4 linked regions of the Ovis aries genome follow. The protein of the gene in region 1 interacts with the protein of each later gene in a pairwise test. Links are inferred from orthologs where the notes say so. Each region holds a gene or a part of one and is shown in the gene's direction. Other genes may lie near its edges.

Region 1 (2,499 bases):
GGTCCCTGCCAACCCTCTATGACCTCCCTCCCTGTGGCACTTCCTGCCCCCTGGAATAGAAACTACTCTTGGATCTGGGCCTCCTGTACCCTGTATGTAGCTCTGTTCCTCAAGTGAAGAGGAAGTCATCTGCCTGCCCAGCCACAGCAGCAGCTGTCGGGGCACAAGGTGGCAGTGGCTGGTGGAGGCTGAAGAAAAAGCGCTCAGGGGGCCTCACACACTTGCCCCACCTGCCTGGCCCCTGACCCCTGCTCCTACACTGCCTGCCTCCCCGCAGGCCACTGCATTCCAAGGCTGAGCAGCACCTCATGTGTGAGGAGCATGAAGACGAGAAGATCAACATTTACTGTCTGAGCTGTGAAGTGCCCACCTGCTCTCTCTGCAAGGTCTTTGGTGCCCACAAGGACTGTGAGGTGGCCCCACTGCCCACCATTTACAAACGCCAGAAGGTATCAAGCAGCAGAGGGAGCAAGCATGGGGGGGTGGGGGTGGGGACACAGGATGGGATCTCAAACTGCAGCCTCTTACTCCACTTGACTTCAAAGGCATGCAGATCAGGGCTGAAGTCCCAGCTCACTGTGTGACCTTGGGTAAGTCACTTGACCTCTCTGGCCCTAAAATTCTTCCTCACTTGTAAAATGGGCATGAAAATGCTTACACTTGAGAGTTGTAAGGATCATACGAGAAATGGATGCAGTATGGTGAACTCTCAAGGCCATCACACTGTCATACAAGTAGATTCTACATAAAACATTATTTACAAATTAAGGGACTCCTCTGGAGGTCTGGTGGTTAAGCTTCCAACGCAGGGGGCACTGGTTCAATCCCTGGTTGGGGAAACAAGATTCCACATGCCATGCAGTATGGCCAAAAAAATTAATTAATCAGTTAATTTTAAAAAAATAATTGAAAAAATAAAATAAAAATTAAATTGATAGACAGGTAGAAAGTAAAGGAAAGCTCCAAGTGTGGGTGAGGTAGGGAGAGAAGGAGGGGGAGAGAGATGTGAACAGAACCCTGAATATGATAGGCATGGGAAAGGCAGGATTTCCCACAGGGCAAATTATTACTGAACTAGACAGATGAGACTATGCCTACAAACTCCTGAAACTTGGGGGACCTACAACAAAGACCCCCAAGGATCACAGGATACACTGGAATCCCAGGAATCCCTAAAGTGGGCAGTTGTGCCACCTGGCTTTTGACAAAAGCAAATGCAAATTCTGCCTGGTGGAAAAACCCTCAATTTAGGCCTTGGGTTTTTCTTAGATTAAGATCAACATAAGATGAGCTCCCGATTGAAGATACACAAAGAAATGTACTCATGAGTGAAGTCAGCAGAAACAAAACTTTCAGATTTAGGCCCTCAAGAAATTAAGATACTGGAATTATTAAAGAATGTAAAGTCAGCTTTGTATAAAATGCTTTAAAAAATGGAATTTGAAAATAAGCAATAATAGACTATCAAAAGTGCAGATTTGATGAAGAACCAAACAGAGCTTTTAGAAATGAAAATATAATTGTAGAAAACAAAACATTCAAGGGATGAATTAAATGACAACTTTCTCTCAGTAAGAGAGGACTGGGGAATTCCCTGGCTGTCCAGTGGTTAGCACTCTGTGCTTTCACTCTCGAGGGCCTGAGTTGGGGAACTAAGATGCCACAAGCCACACAGCATGGCCAGAAAAAAAAAATTTTTTTTTTCACATAAAAGAATTTTAAAAGGGAAAGAGAGGACTGAAAAAATAGCTTAGAATATAGCACTGGGAGATGAGAAGGTTGGGAATGAGAAGGTCTAACATATTAGATATATGATTAGATATATCTGATACTCTAGATATATTAGGTACTCTGATTAGATATCAGAGTCTCAGAATGAGAGAATAAAGAGAATGCAGAAGAGGCAATATTATCTTAAAGGAAAATCCTGAAGACTTTTTCAAAATTGATGGAAGATAAAGCATGCAGCCCAGTGTGTGGTATTTGGTGGATATTTGGTGAATGTCTCTTTCTCACTTGGTGGTGGAGGACTTCCTCTCTCCACTTCCTTCCAGAATTTATAGACTGTGCTTCCAAACTTCTTGAATGGTTCCAAACTCTCTAGATCTCTGTCAGAGTTTCCCTGAGGATGCCCTGATGGTGGAGTGGAGGGGACAGTCCTCTCCTGGGTAGCCCTGGTGAGGGAGGGAGGGGCTTAGCTCCAGACCAGGTCCTCCAGCCCTGAGTGCTGGCCTCTGTGTGTGGCAGAGTGAGCTCAGCGATGGCATCGCGATGCTGGTGGCCGGCAATGACCGTGTGCAAGCAGTGATCACACAGATGGAGGAGGTGTGCCAGACCATCGAGGTGAGCCTGGAAAGGGAGGGAGGGAAAGTTGCTGGGCTACTGGAGGTGAATCACAAGTAGTAGAATGTGCTTACCCAGGCTGCTAGGTTTGAATCCCAGCTCTGTCCTCCTCTGTGACTTTGGTCCAGTGACTTAACTTCTTAGTGTTTGGGTTTG
Region 2 (4,097 bases), on another chromosome or scaffold:
CCTCTGGGCCACAGCTGACCCAGAGGCACCCTAGGCAGACTACCTCCCCAGCCCAGCGGAGCTACCAGCCTCAGGAGACGCCCCCACCTCAACCCCACGCCCAGCCCGGGGCCTTCTCAGGGCTAGTGACCATCCTCACTGTAACAGACGGGCTGGGAGCGCTGAACACCTGCTGAGAGCTCTGGCCCAGACGTGGGCCTTGGGACACTAGCCTTGCGGGGGCGGGGGGGGGGGGGGCGGTGCTGGGCGGTCTGCCCTGGAGGCCAATAGTCTCAGTACAGTGCCAAATAGGGGGCTGCCGGGGGTGAGGGTGGGGAGGATGGAAGGAAACGGAGGAAGGAGGAGACCCAGGGCGAAGGGGTGAATGAATGCAAGCTGGGGGCCGGGGTGGGGGGGCGGTCACCTCCCGCCACTTGACCCCAAAGAGCCCACGGGCGGAGGGGCTGACCTTGGAACGCTCCCTCTTTCCCACTCTGGGCCAGGGGACGGGGGTCGGGGGCCGCTAGACGGAGAGGCGCCCAGCGTGGCCGGGAAGGACAAGCGTTCGCGCGTGGGTTCGGGGCGGACCTGAGACCCCGGCCACAGGGGCCTAGCCCTGCCCCTGCTCCTCCCCCACCCGCCCGGACCACCCGGCGCCCCTCCCCCCAGGCCAGCCCCTGGGTTAGGGAGCGTCTGCACTTCTCCTCCCGTCGGTCGGGCCCGCACTTGGTCTTGTGTACGGGGCCTGCTCATTGGGCACATTAGACGGATGCCCCGCCCAGGGCCCCGAGTTGGCCAATCGCAAGGGGTTTCACAGCATGCCGTAGGCGAGAGATTGTCACCGTGCTGCGACGCTTGGGGGATCCCTAGGCCTCAGTGGTCGTTGCTCCTCCGCCCCGGGCCCTAGCCTCGAGGAGACCTCCGGGACCGCTGCCTGGGGAGGTGCCCGCGGGGCATCCGGAGAGCCCGGGGAGATCTCGGCCGCCCTGCTTCCCCGCCGCTACCCGGCCGGTCCTCGCGAGGAACAGTGCCCCGCGAAGGGGAGTTTGCAGACGCTCCCTCACACCCGGGACGCGGCCCCTTTAAGGACGCAGGTGTCCATGGCGCCGCCTGACTGGAAAGCCGCCTCCGGGCCGGGCTCCCGAGCGGGGCCCGGGGCGCGGGCGCGCGGCGGCGGGACACGGGCAGCGGGCGGCGCTCGGCGGCGCGGGCGGCGCGGGGCTGGCGGTGGCGGCGGCGGGGTGCGAGCCAGGCGCGCGGCGGGCAGGCCCCGCAGGCCCCGCCCCGCCCCGCCCGCGCCGGGGTCCTCGAGCGCTCGGGCTGCGCGCGGAGCGGGCTCGGGAGGGAAGTCCCGAGACAAAGGGAGCGCAGCCGCCGCCGCCGCCGCCTAGTACGCCTCGCTCGCCGGGCCGGGCCGCCCGAGGTGAGCGCCGCGGGGCGGGCGCCGGGCCGCGGGGGCCCAAAACTCCGCTGCCGGCGGGTCCGGCCGGGCAGGCGCCCTCCGCGCGCGGCCCGGCCCGTTCCCGGGGACCGGCCCGCCCCGGGCTGCTGACGCCGCGGCGGGGGCCAGCCCGCCGGGCTCCCTTCGGGTAGCCCGGCCCCCGGCCCGCCGCGGCCTCGGCCCGCGAGGTGGGGGCGTCTTCTCCGGGCGCGCGCTCGGGGCGAGTCGCGTCCGGGGCGGCCGACGGCGCGCTCGGCTCGGGCCGCGCTGACAGGAGCGCCAAGCCCTCCGCTCAGGCGGAGCGTTTCCGGGGTCACGGTCTGCGCGCGAACCTGTGGCGCGTTCCAGCCTGGTAGAGGACGCGCTGCACAAAGAGTGCAAAGCCGCGCGCTGCAGGAGCGCCGGCGCGTTTGGGGGTGGCGTGTGATGCCTGGAAACGAAAACAAGCCAGAGCTCTTGCGCCTCCGAGCTCCGCTCGCCGTTGCGGGGGACCCACCGAGTGTTCGCTCTTCCCTTGACGGGGAGATCTCGTCCCAAGACCGCTTTATACCAATTGCACGGCGGCTGGAGCTGATAGTTTTCGCGAGTAAGAGGAAGGCGAGGGAATGATTAGCTGGGCTGATGGTAACGGCCAGCAGCTGTCCTTGAATCACAGAAGTAACTGGTTTGGTTTGTACGATTTGAAAACAAGCTCCGTTGGCAGTTTCTCCCCGGTTTGCGGAGTTGGCTTTCGTTGGTCTGCTCTTAAGCCCGTGGTCCTCTGTGTTTCTTGCTCCCAAGGAAACTGCCTTTGGACGGAGAACCTGCCCAGCAGCAGGGGGAGAAGGAGCCCACGTTTGTGCTGACTTGATTTTGGGTGGGTTGGGGGTGAATTCTGCATCGTGCTGCACGTGAGTCTCGCTGGGGGTTTGGGCTTGCTTTGGAAACAGCTGGGCGTCCTGGGAGGCGTGTCAGGAAAGACCAGGGAAGTGCCCCTGGGCTGGAGGATCTCCTGAGCGCAGGTGAAGCCAGTGCCTTCCTTCTCCTGGCGAGCTTACGTTTGGGTGGGAAAGCCCACCAAGGGCCGCGAGCCTCTATCGGTTTCATCCTGGGCCGACCTCTGGGCTCACAGTGCTATCGCCCGTTTTACCGGTGAGAAGGTTGAAGGGGAAGAGGGAAGCCGTTGGCCCTCACCTGCAGCCGGTAAGTGGCTTCAGAGATTGATCTGAGAAGCGTGGGTTCAAGCACAGCCCACGCTGGAGAAGGGTGGCTGCAGACTTCAAGGGTCTGCCCCAGACCCGGATCCTGTGCTTCAGGCTGTCTCTAGCAGGTCATAGATACCCGATCTTTGCCTCTTAGTGATTTTGCTGCCCTGAAGACTGCGCACACTTAACAGCTCCTTAAGTGCCTCCCTGTCAGTTGGGAAAAGCTGATTGGATTCTAAGTGGGATGCTGAAGGAGTGGTTCCGTGTTGTAATTAAAATGTAGCAAATTGGCTGCTTTCTCCTGGGCAGCGAGGCCAGCCTCTCTCTGGGCGGGGGCAGGTGTGCGCCTGTGACTCCGCCATGGCTGCAGCATCTGTCTTTCAGGTGCCCAGTTTGGTTCTCACCCCCAAGGACGGGGTTGCAGCAGCTCTTGTGGGACACCCCTCCCATTACTTTCTGCACCTGAGACAGTCACAGCTGGCGCCCCAACAGGGTCTGCTGAGGCGGCTTTGTTCCTTGTCAGTAGAAGAGGTGGCCTGTGGCGGGGTCCTGGCATGCGGTCAGCAGGCATGCGGCACTGAGGATCACCCCACCGGCCTTTTCTACATCCTGGCCTAGCCATGCCGCTCCAGAGCCCTCGAGTGCCAGCTTGCCCATTCCAGAACCCATGTGCTGCCCAGGCTCCAGGAACCAGTCTTGAAGCCTTGCTGAGCGCAGACTCAGCAGGAACTTCACAGTGCACGGAGAGCCAGGCTGCTTGTCTCTGCCACTGAGCTCCCGTGTGGGACAGTTTAGAGGTGGTCCTGGCCCGTGAGGGGCTCCTGTAGGATTTCCGCACATCCCTAAGCCCCCACCAGGGGAGGGAGAGGCGTTCCCATCTGCCCTGGTGATGAGGCGGGGGCAAGTTCTGTTTAGAAGGGTGATGTGAAGTGAAGGGTTTTCAGGCTTCAGGATTACTGCCCTCATGTTCCCATGGACTTGAAAGCTGCTTGGCACTCCCCTCTGCTCTGCCAGCTCCCCACCTGAGGGAAGTGACCCCAGCATCTCCCACTCTGTCCTGTTTGTGGACAGTCTGGTGCTGCAGGCAGTGCCCAGGTGGCCAGCAACCACCACTAGGACCCAGGGGCACCAGCACGCCCACGTCAGCCTTCGGGCAGCCGCACTTGTGGTCTTCAACTTATATCACATGAATGAATGAAAATACCAGATGGGTGTGCACGTGTAGGGAAGGAGACCCCAGACAGGGTCCTGTCCATCAGGTCCACAGATGAGGAGGAGGTGAGCGGGCCAGGACTGGAGGTTCGGGGGTGGCAAAGAGAAATTCTCTTTGGGGTGTGGGCCTTCTTGCTTGGGACTTGATCTTGAGGTTGGGCAGGGTTAGAGCCTTTGAAGAGTGTCCTCAGTGGTCAGAGCCGGGCAGCAGCTCCTGTCACCAGGCCTCCTGCGTGGGAGCTAGAGTTTCACGCTCGCTTTCCCTTGTGTTGACACAAGTC
Region 3 (4,244 bases), about 12 Mb from region 1:
TCATTTTCTTCTTGTAGATCTGTCCATTTCTGCTCTATATATTTTGAGGCTATATTATTAGATATCTGCAAATTTATGTATATATAACTGAATCACTTTGCTGTACATAAACTAACACAACATTGTAAATCAACTATTTTTCAGTAAAAACAGTTTAAAAGATAACTGCAAATTTAGAATATTGCTCACGAGTGGAAGCTTTTTTGCTCTTCTACATACACATACAATATGTCCTCCACACTTACTGCTTCTTTTCCACTCTCTTCTAATGTTCTATTTTCAGTGTTTCAGCATGCTGATTTGGGGTCGGGGTCAAATCACAAGAGGGTTACGTGCAGCCACAGAACTCGCTGCATGCAAACGCCTGGACGTCCCTTCTGTGGTCATTTGCAGCGTCCATACCTCATGGGCTTCCAACTCTAGCTTTGGCTAAGAATCCAGCCGGTGTCTGTTCCAGTGGTCAAAGCAAATCCTCAGCCAAAACAAAGAGCAGCCTGCAGAAAGGTGAGGGAGTAGGGTGTTTCGCAAGTGTTTACATTCCTGATGGAAGAAATACTTGGTTCAGACTTCAGAGAAGGGGTCTGGATATTGCGCGTTGCGTACCCTAACTTTGTGGTGGTGACAGCAGGTTGTAGGGCCAGGAGTGGGGGGTGGCTGGGGCCTCAGCCTCAGGAAGTAGGGGTTTGGCTGACACTGCACCACGAAGCGACTTAGCATCATCAGCAGCAGCACCACCACCACGCCTGATATTTTAAGGCTAGGCTTCTTTTACAGGCGCTTGGTGTAGCGGCAAGGCGTCATCTGAAGCGCCCAAATCCCAAGTGGGAGACGTTGTTGGGGGTGAGGTGGAGATGAGGCTTGTTTGTGGCTACTGGTGGGCGTTTACACCTTCCGATCCCCACCACTATAAAGCGGAGGAACCCAAGCAGCAAACGTTCGGGTCACACACACCTGCACTCTCAGTCACTGGTGGGTGGACCAGGCTCCACCTTCCTCCAGATTGGTCGACTTCCGTTAGCTTTCAAGTCAGGGTAGAAAGTAACTCACGGCTTCCCATTCTCCGGCTCGCTGGAGAGCCATGTTAGGTCGCGGGATGCAAACGTTACCATTGTCCCGAGACCGCGACACGATAACACGCCCTGCTTTCTTCTGCCGCCGCCACCTCCTCCAAACATATTATTTCAATGAATAAAAAGCCCCACAGCACAAATCGTTTCATTAGTGTAATGTGAGAAGTCTGCATTTAGGGGGTGAAATGCGAAGAAGAGGGACCAGGTGCCCTATTCCCCCGACCAATCCTCTAAACCAGCAAAGACTCAATACTGACTCCCACTATCCAAGGGGCCCCGCGGCGGGCGCCGGTTTTAAGTGATTTTTGGCCCCTCGCGGCCCCTGTAGCGTCCCTAGTTACCGGGCCCCTAGTAACCACCACCCTAAGCAAAGAGCAATCGGGCGCCTGCGGCCACGCCGGCTTCCCCGCCCCGGGCCAGCGCGGGCGCTCAGGCCTCGGCGGCGCGGTGATGGCTGCTTCGCACCGAGCGGCGAAGTTGGCGGCCAGAAGTCTCCAAACCCCGGTCAATCCCAACACCGGAGCGCGGGTCGCCCAGTACGAACGCAAAGACCCTTTGAATTCCCTGTCGGCGGCGGCGGCGGCCATGGAGGAAGAGGAGGAAGAAGAAGAAGAGAAAGAGGCGGCGGCACGGCTGGCGCGGGCGCCGGTAATGCAGGGGAGGGCAGTGGGGTGGGGCTGGGCGCCGGGTGCAATTGGAGGCTGATCGGCGACCCCCGGTGGTGAGGCGCGGGCTGGGAAATGCGAACCCTGTCCTGACCCGTACAGGTGAGCCTGGCCCACCAAGTCCTCTGGGTCCTCACGGAAAATGCTCGAAACCGAGGCGTTGAAAAGTCTTTTAACCAAAGAGGTTGTTGTAAAAATTTCTTGGAGGGCATTTACGTTACGCTATTTCTAATGAAAAGTACAGAAATTTATTCTTATGCTCCAGCAACTGTTGGGAGTAGGTATTTTCTTTTCTTTTCTTTTTTTTTCTTTTTCCTTTCAACTCGAGGAAAACTGTGCTGTCCTACAGAGAATAATCCAAAAAACGCAAGTGAATCAGCTGTGTTGTCAGGTGTGTTTTGTTGTCACTTCAATGTCTTGGTTATTAGTGCGTCTTAATACAATACATGAGAGATGATGGTTAAAACCAGCAGGAGTTTAGTGGGGAGATCAGAAACAGAGTTAAGCCTCCAGAGAAGCAAATTACTGAGGCTCCAGTGTTGCCACACGGCTCTTCAGAGTGAGGAGAAACAGCTTTTTCACAGATCGATTTTCAGTGTCGAGTGTTTTGTGAACACCTGTCTGCCAGGTAGGGGGCCAAGTCTGCCATCTGCTCTATTCCCTTAAAAGATGAGAACTTTGAATTTTAACCAGCAATCTGCAGGTATAAACCTTCTTAACCCCAGGTAAAGATTCTTTTGTTATTTTTAATATTTATTTATTTGGCTGTGCTGAGACTCAGTTGCCTCCATGCAACCTTTGTGTGGATTCTTTAGTTGTGGCATGCAGAATCTACTTCCCTGACCAGGGATGGAACCCAAGGCCCTTGCATTGGGAGTGCAGAGTCTTAACCAGCAGAGAAGTCCCCCCAAATTCTTAATACTGTTTGCTCAAAGCATCTTAGGTTAAAAACATGTAGTCTAGTGAAAGTCACTCAGTCATGTCCAACTCTTTGCAACCCCCATGGACTATACAGTCCATGGAATTCTCCAGGCCAGAATACTGGAGTGGACAGCCTTTCCCTTCTCCAGGGGATCTTGTGGTCTAAGGCTATTAGAAATCACTGGATATTTTGGAATTCTAATTTCTTTAATCTGCACTAGAAATGGTAATGAGAAAATCTGTAGTAACACCTTTTATGGGCAGTATTTTACCAACAGATAAACTGCTTGAGGTTATCCAGAGTAAAGCAGATTCAAAGACCCTGAACTTCAACCAGAATGAGTGACCTACAACCAAATTCATTCATGATAAAGCTTCAAATTTCAATACCCAATGAAGGAGGTGGACTGATGTTGAAAAATGATTTGAATGAAGAGAAGAATTTGGAGTCCTGGGTTAGGATCTGTTCATTTGCTAGTTAATATTAAGATGTAACTTCTTTCAGTTTGTTTCCTTATCTATAAAAGAGCTCTAAAATAACTGTCTTTCTTTTCTCACTGGGGTATTATGAGAACGAAATAAGAGCATATGTCATAGCTAAAAGACAGTTTGTATAAATTAGTAATAATAATAACAGCTGCCAGTGGGGCTGTTATTTGAACACCTATCCAAAAGAGAACAGGAGATTAAGTTCTCTTCTGGCTTGCTGTAGTGGAAAAGTCAGTCATTTCTGTGGTTGCAAGTATACTTCCAGAGTACCCTGTAAAATTGCAAATTTGTATTAGAAATATTACCTTAGGAGAGATCAGTTTATCTAATAAGCTAGTTTCTAAGGGACAGTGTCTCACTAAAAAAGAAAAAAGGAAGCTAAGTTTAACGCTATTCTGAGACCACAGTACTTAAAGGAACCAAAAGGAAATCTGGATCAGCTGCCACTGTAGTAGTGGTAAAGAACCCCCTGCCTGCCAGTGCAAGAGATGTAAGAGACGTGGATTTGATCCCTGAGTCAGGAAGATCCCTTGAAGAAGGGAATGGAACCCATTCCAGTATCCTCGCCAGGAAAATCCCATGGACAGAGGAGCCTGGCAGGCTACAGTCCATAGGGTCGAAGAGTCTGACACGACTGAAGTGACTTAGCGTGCAGCACATAGCAGTAGACCTGATGGAGACACTGGGGTGGGCAGACAAAGCACTGGAAAGGCAAGAAAGAAAGTGCAGCAGACAAGCTTTACCTTCCTCACAGTTTGGCTTGATATCTCACCTTGATTTTTAAACGCTAGTTTCTCTCAACTTTGTCGTCTATAAAATGGAGTTAACTCAGCTTACCATAGCCATCACACAAAATTGATTATGTAGAACTAACTGTCATAGTTCGGTTCAGTTGCTCAGTCATGTCTGACTCTTTCCAACCCATGGACTGCAGCGCACCAGGCCTCCCTGACCATCACCAACTCCCGTAGTCTACCCAAACTCATGTCCATTGAGTTGGTGATGCCATCCAACCATCCCATCCTCTGTCATCCCCTTCTCCCCCCACCTTCAATCTTTCCCAGCATCAGGGTCTTTTCAAGTAAGTCAGTTCTTCACA
Region 4 (4,019 bases), on another chromosome or scaffold:
CCATTCCCTTCTCCAGGGGATCCTCCCAACCCAGGGATCGAACCCGCATCTCTTGGTATCTCCTGCATTGGCAGGTGGATTCTTTACCACTGGCACCAGGTTGACCCAAGAGAAATGATCACCCTACTCCCCTCAGGCAGTAGAGACCTGGGCCAGGCTTGTGGCCCCAAGAACCTCAGGGTGGAGGCCGACCAGAAGGAAACATCTCAGAACTTCCCTGGGAGGCCCCATTAGAGACGCCTACCATCTGGTCCCTGCCTCAGCCCACGCAGAGCCAAGCCGGCCCTCCCTGCCACCTGCGGCCTAGCCCTACAGACCATCTGGTTGCTTCCCCGAGAGGCCCCTCCCATACTCCCTGAAGGGGAGCTAGCTCCCAATGGGAGTCCAGACCCTAGGACTACCATTCTTGTCCTCTTCAGGCCTTCTTTCTCCTCCCCCTCCACCCCCTCCACTGCCCTCCCCCCACCCTTTTTTTTTTTTTTTTCAGGGAGAAACCTAAAGCCCAGAGAGGGTCTGTGACGATCCAAGTCACACAACCAGACAGGGACTTTGATGGGGCATTCCCTGGCAGGGGAGGGCGGAGGGATTCCTGAGGAACAAGTGTTGGTAAGGCAGTGAGGCAGTTCCCAGCTCCCTGCCCTGCGTGGCAGAGAGGCTCCCAGAAGGTCATCCCTCCCCTCCGGGGAAAGAGAGAGAGACCAACCGGAACTGGGGTGGGGAGGAATTCCAGGAAAAAAGAGGACTGGGGCGGGGGAGGGGTGGGGCGGGTGGGAAGTTGGGCTCCAGAAGGCAGATTTGGGAGTCACTAGCCAGAAGTTAAGGGACAGAGCCAAAGTGTAGGGGCCCGTTGTCCGGCCAGATGGGGCGCTAGGGAGGGGTTCAGATTTCCAGGCCGCAAGATCGGGTGTCTGGGGCTCCCACGGTGGGTGCTGGGGCGTTCTGGGTCTGGGAAGTGGGAGGGGCAGTCCCGGGTCCGAGGGGAACGAGGGAGTCTGGAAAGTCCTGTGCCAGAACGGGCAGTGATTGCGAAGTTAAGGAGTCACGGGGCTTAGGGGCGGTGGTCCTTAGGCTGGGGGGCCGCCGCACTCACCTCTACCCGGGCTCGGGCCAGGCCTTGTAGACGGTTCCAGTCGGGCCGGAAGGTGGTGGTGGCGGCCGCGACTGCCGCGAGGAGGAGCAGCAGGGGCGGCGGAGGCAGCGGGAGGTGCATTGAAACCCGGCCGAAGATGGTCCGCAAGCTGGAGGTGAACCGCCCGGCCACTGCGCCACGTCTGGCCCGGAGAGCTGGCCGGGTCCCCGCTGGAGGTCCCGCCCCGTTAGGGACCACGCCTCCTGCTCTCGGTCTCCGCCCAGGACCTGCGTGGGGGCCGCCCGCGCGGCCCGGCGGGGTTTGGGCTCCTCTCTGGCCCGCAGAGCTTTACTTTCCGGGTCCCAACAGCGTCCACCCTCCCTCTGCTGACCGACAGGATGGATGCTCCGACTGGATGCGTCCAGACAGTGCCCCGGTTCGCCGGCAGAGGGCGCAGGCGGGAGGCGCACAGGCACCGGAGTTTCTGGGTCAGACACCCGACTGGAAGATGGGGAAACTAAGGCCTGGGGAATCCTTGTTTGTGTGTTGTTTTCTGTTTGTTTTGTTTTTTTACTTCTCTAGATGAGATTCCGGTCTGGATTTTAATTTCCTGGGCAAACGTTATGGCGATGGGAATATTACGTCGGAGCTGGGAGGATAAAGGGGTTAATACACATGAGAGCAGAGAAGGCAATGGCACCCCACTCCAGTACTCTTGCCTGGAAAATCCTAGGGACAGAGGAGCCTGGTGGGCTGCAGTCCACGGGGTCGCGAAGAGTCGGACACGACTGAGCGACTTCACTTTCACTTTTCACTTTCATGCATTGGAGAAGGAAATGGCAACCCACTCCAGTGTTCTTGCCTGGAGAATCCCAGGGACGGGGGAGCCTGGTGGGCTGCCGTCTATGGGGTCGCACAGAGTCGGACATGACCAAAGCGACTTAGCAGCAGCAGCAGCACATGAGAGAGCTCTTTAGAACAGTACCGTCACAGCACCTCAAAAAGGCCCAATGATCTCCTTTCTACAAGCTAGGAAACAGGCTCAGAAAGGTAAGACGATTAAATTGTAGGTCTTGGATTTGAACCCAAAACATTCCCGTGTTCATGTCACCAAGACAAAGACGACTAGATCAGGATGTCACTTCCCCTCTTCAGTCCTCAGGCAGACATTGTGCACTGGTCGCAGTGCTTTTTTCCCACTGAATCTGGACTGGAACTCAGAATTCTCAGCATCCAGCCAAGGCTGCATTATGGCTTTCACGGAAGCTCAGTAGTTTTGCCTTCCTGGGCCCCTTCCTTTATTAAAATATCTTACATTAGACATTGGAGGGACTACCCTGGTGGTCCATTGGTTATGACTCTGCCTCGTAATTAAAGACAGCACAAGTTCAATCCTGACAACTAAACCCATGTGCCACTAGAGAGCCTGCTGCCCCAAGGAAAGTTCCCTAGTGATTGCGAGGAAGATGCCACGTGATGCAGCTAGATAAACATTTTTAAATTGAATTTTACAACTGCTTTGATCTTAAAAGAAATTAATATAATCCAGGCTAGGTTCATTATTATTCATTCATTTTTTTCTTCCGATTTAAAAAAAAAATTAAAATTAAAACATTTTTGTGGGCCCCTAAAAGTATGATGGGCCATAGACACTAAACCTCATGGATAAGTCAGGTCTGCCTAGAGCCCTTCATTCATATCATTACCTCCCATTCACTGACTTGATTGTGAAGATATAATAGGCTTAGGGCTGTTATTTAATATTCATTGTCCATAAATACATGAGGACACAGTAAATATAATTGGTTCTATCCAGATTATTGAAATGATAAGCTATGTCTAACACTGTTTACTGCTGTGAAAGTGGGAATCCATCCAAGCTTTCTGAAAGGCAACTTGACACATTAAATCAAAACCCTAAAAATATTTTTTCTACCCAGTATTACACTTCTCAGAATTTGACCCAAAGTAATCTTGAGAGAGGGAATCAATGGTTAGGTTAAGATGTTTATCAAGACACTGTTTACAATGGGGAAAAACGAGCTTGGACAGAAGCATGTCATCGCAGGGGATGAGATAAGTAAATGCTGGTGCTTGCTTAGGTTGGGCTTCCCTCATCGCTCAGTTGGTAACGAATCTGCCTGCAATGCAGGAGACCCTGGTTCAATCCAGAGAAGATCCCCTGGAGAAGGGAGATGCTACCCACTCCAGTATTCTTGGGCTTCCCTGGTGGCTCAGCTGGTGAAGAATCCTCCTGCAATGCAGAAGACCTGGGTTCGATGCCTGGGTTGGGAAGATCCCCTGGAGAAGGGTAAGGCTAGTGAAGTGAAGTTGCTCAGTCGTGTCTGACTCTTTGCGACCCCGTGGACTGTAGCCCACCAGGCTCCTCCGTCCATGGGATTCTCCAGGCAAAAATACTGGAGTGGGTTGCCATTTCCTTCTCCAGGGTACGGCTACCCACTCCACTATTCTGGCCTGGAGAATTCCATGGACTATATAGTCCATAGGGTCACAAAGCAGAATCAAGCGGTTGTTTAAAATGATGTGGCATAGTGTTGAATGACATGGAGAGTGTTCAGTTATGGTGTTAATTTTTTTTTAAGCTCTAAAACAGTAATATCAGTTGGGAATTGTGATGCTCCAGGTTGCAAGTCACAGAAACCGCAAGTTAAATGGGCTTAAATGATAAATGGAATCTCTTGGTTCAAATAACAAAATATTTCAGGGAGGGAGGGCTCAGATGAGGTTTGATCTGGTTGATAACGTCACCAAGGCCTGATCTCTTTCCATTCTGCTTTCCATAACATCAGTTTGTCCTTAGCACAGTTATCTGCCTGGTGTCAAGATGACTGCCAGCAGTAATCAGGACCACTACAGACTTCTTCACTCATCTAATCAAGGGGAAATCTTTTTTTTTTTTTTTTTTGTAAACTCCTCAGGAGAAAAAAAC

The links.
Region 2: the proteins of TRIM54 (region 1) and UBE2I interact in a two-hybrid assay, tested with the Homo sapiens proteins (3 studies listed by BioGRID and IntAct). The link is inferred for Ovis aries from reciprocal best matches to the Homo sapiens genes TRIM54 and UBE2I.
Region 3: the proteins of TRIM54 (region 1) and FAM161A interact in binary tests that used the Homo sapiens proteins (3 or more experiments, as listed by UniProt). The two-hybrid records come from large-scale screens. The link is inferred for Ovis aries from reciprocal best matches to the Homo sapiens genes TRIM54 and FAM161A.
Region 4: the proteins of TRIM54 (region 1) and INPP5J interact in binary tests that used the Homo sapiens proteins (3 or more experiments, as listed by UniProt). The two-hybrid records come from large-scale screens. The link is inferred for Ovis aries from reciprocal best matches to the Homo sapiens genes TRIM54 and INPP5J.

Annotation. Positions count from the first base shown.
Region 1 is NC_056056.1:34,378,224-34,380,722, forward strand, and holds part of TRIM54 (tripartite motif-containing protein 54), read left to right. Parts: intron 1-277; coding exon 278-449; intron 450-2,247; coding exon 2,248-2,343; intron 2,344-2,499. UniProt on the Homo sapiens protein: May bind and stabilize microtubules during myotubes formation.
Region 2 is NC_056077.1:1,565,908-1,570,004, forward strand, and holds the start of UBE2I (SUMO-conjugating enzyme UBC9), read left to right. Parts: upstream 1-1,288; 5' UTR 1,289-1,402; intron 1,403-1,766; exon of another isoform or gene 1,767-2,006; intron 2,007-2,229; exon of another isoform or gene 2,230-2,310; intron 2,311-4,097. UniProt on the Homo sapiens protein: Accepts the ubiquitin-like proteins SUMO1, SUMO2, SUMO3, SUMO4 and SUMO1P1/SUMO5 from the UBLE1A-UBLE1B E1 complex and catalyzes their covalent attachment to other proteins with the help of an E3 ligase such as RANBP2, CBX4 and ZNF451.
Region 3 is NC_056056.1:46,300,803-46,305,046, forward strand, and holds the start of FAM161A (protein FAM161A), read left to right. Parts: upstream 1-1,435; 5' UTR 1,436-1,520; coding exon 1,521-1,718; exon of another isoform or gene 1,719-1,725; intron 1,726-4,244. UniProt on the Homo sapiens protein: Involved in ciliogenesis.
Region 4 is NC_056070.1:69,884,650-69,888,668, forward strand, and holds the start of INPP5J (phosphatidylinositol 4,5-bisphosphate 5-phosphatase A), read left to right. Parts: upstream 1-1,210; 5' UTR 1,211-4,019. UniProt on the Homo sapiens protein: Inositol 5-phosphatase, which converts inositol 1,4,5-trisphosphate to inositol 1,4-bisphosphate.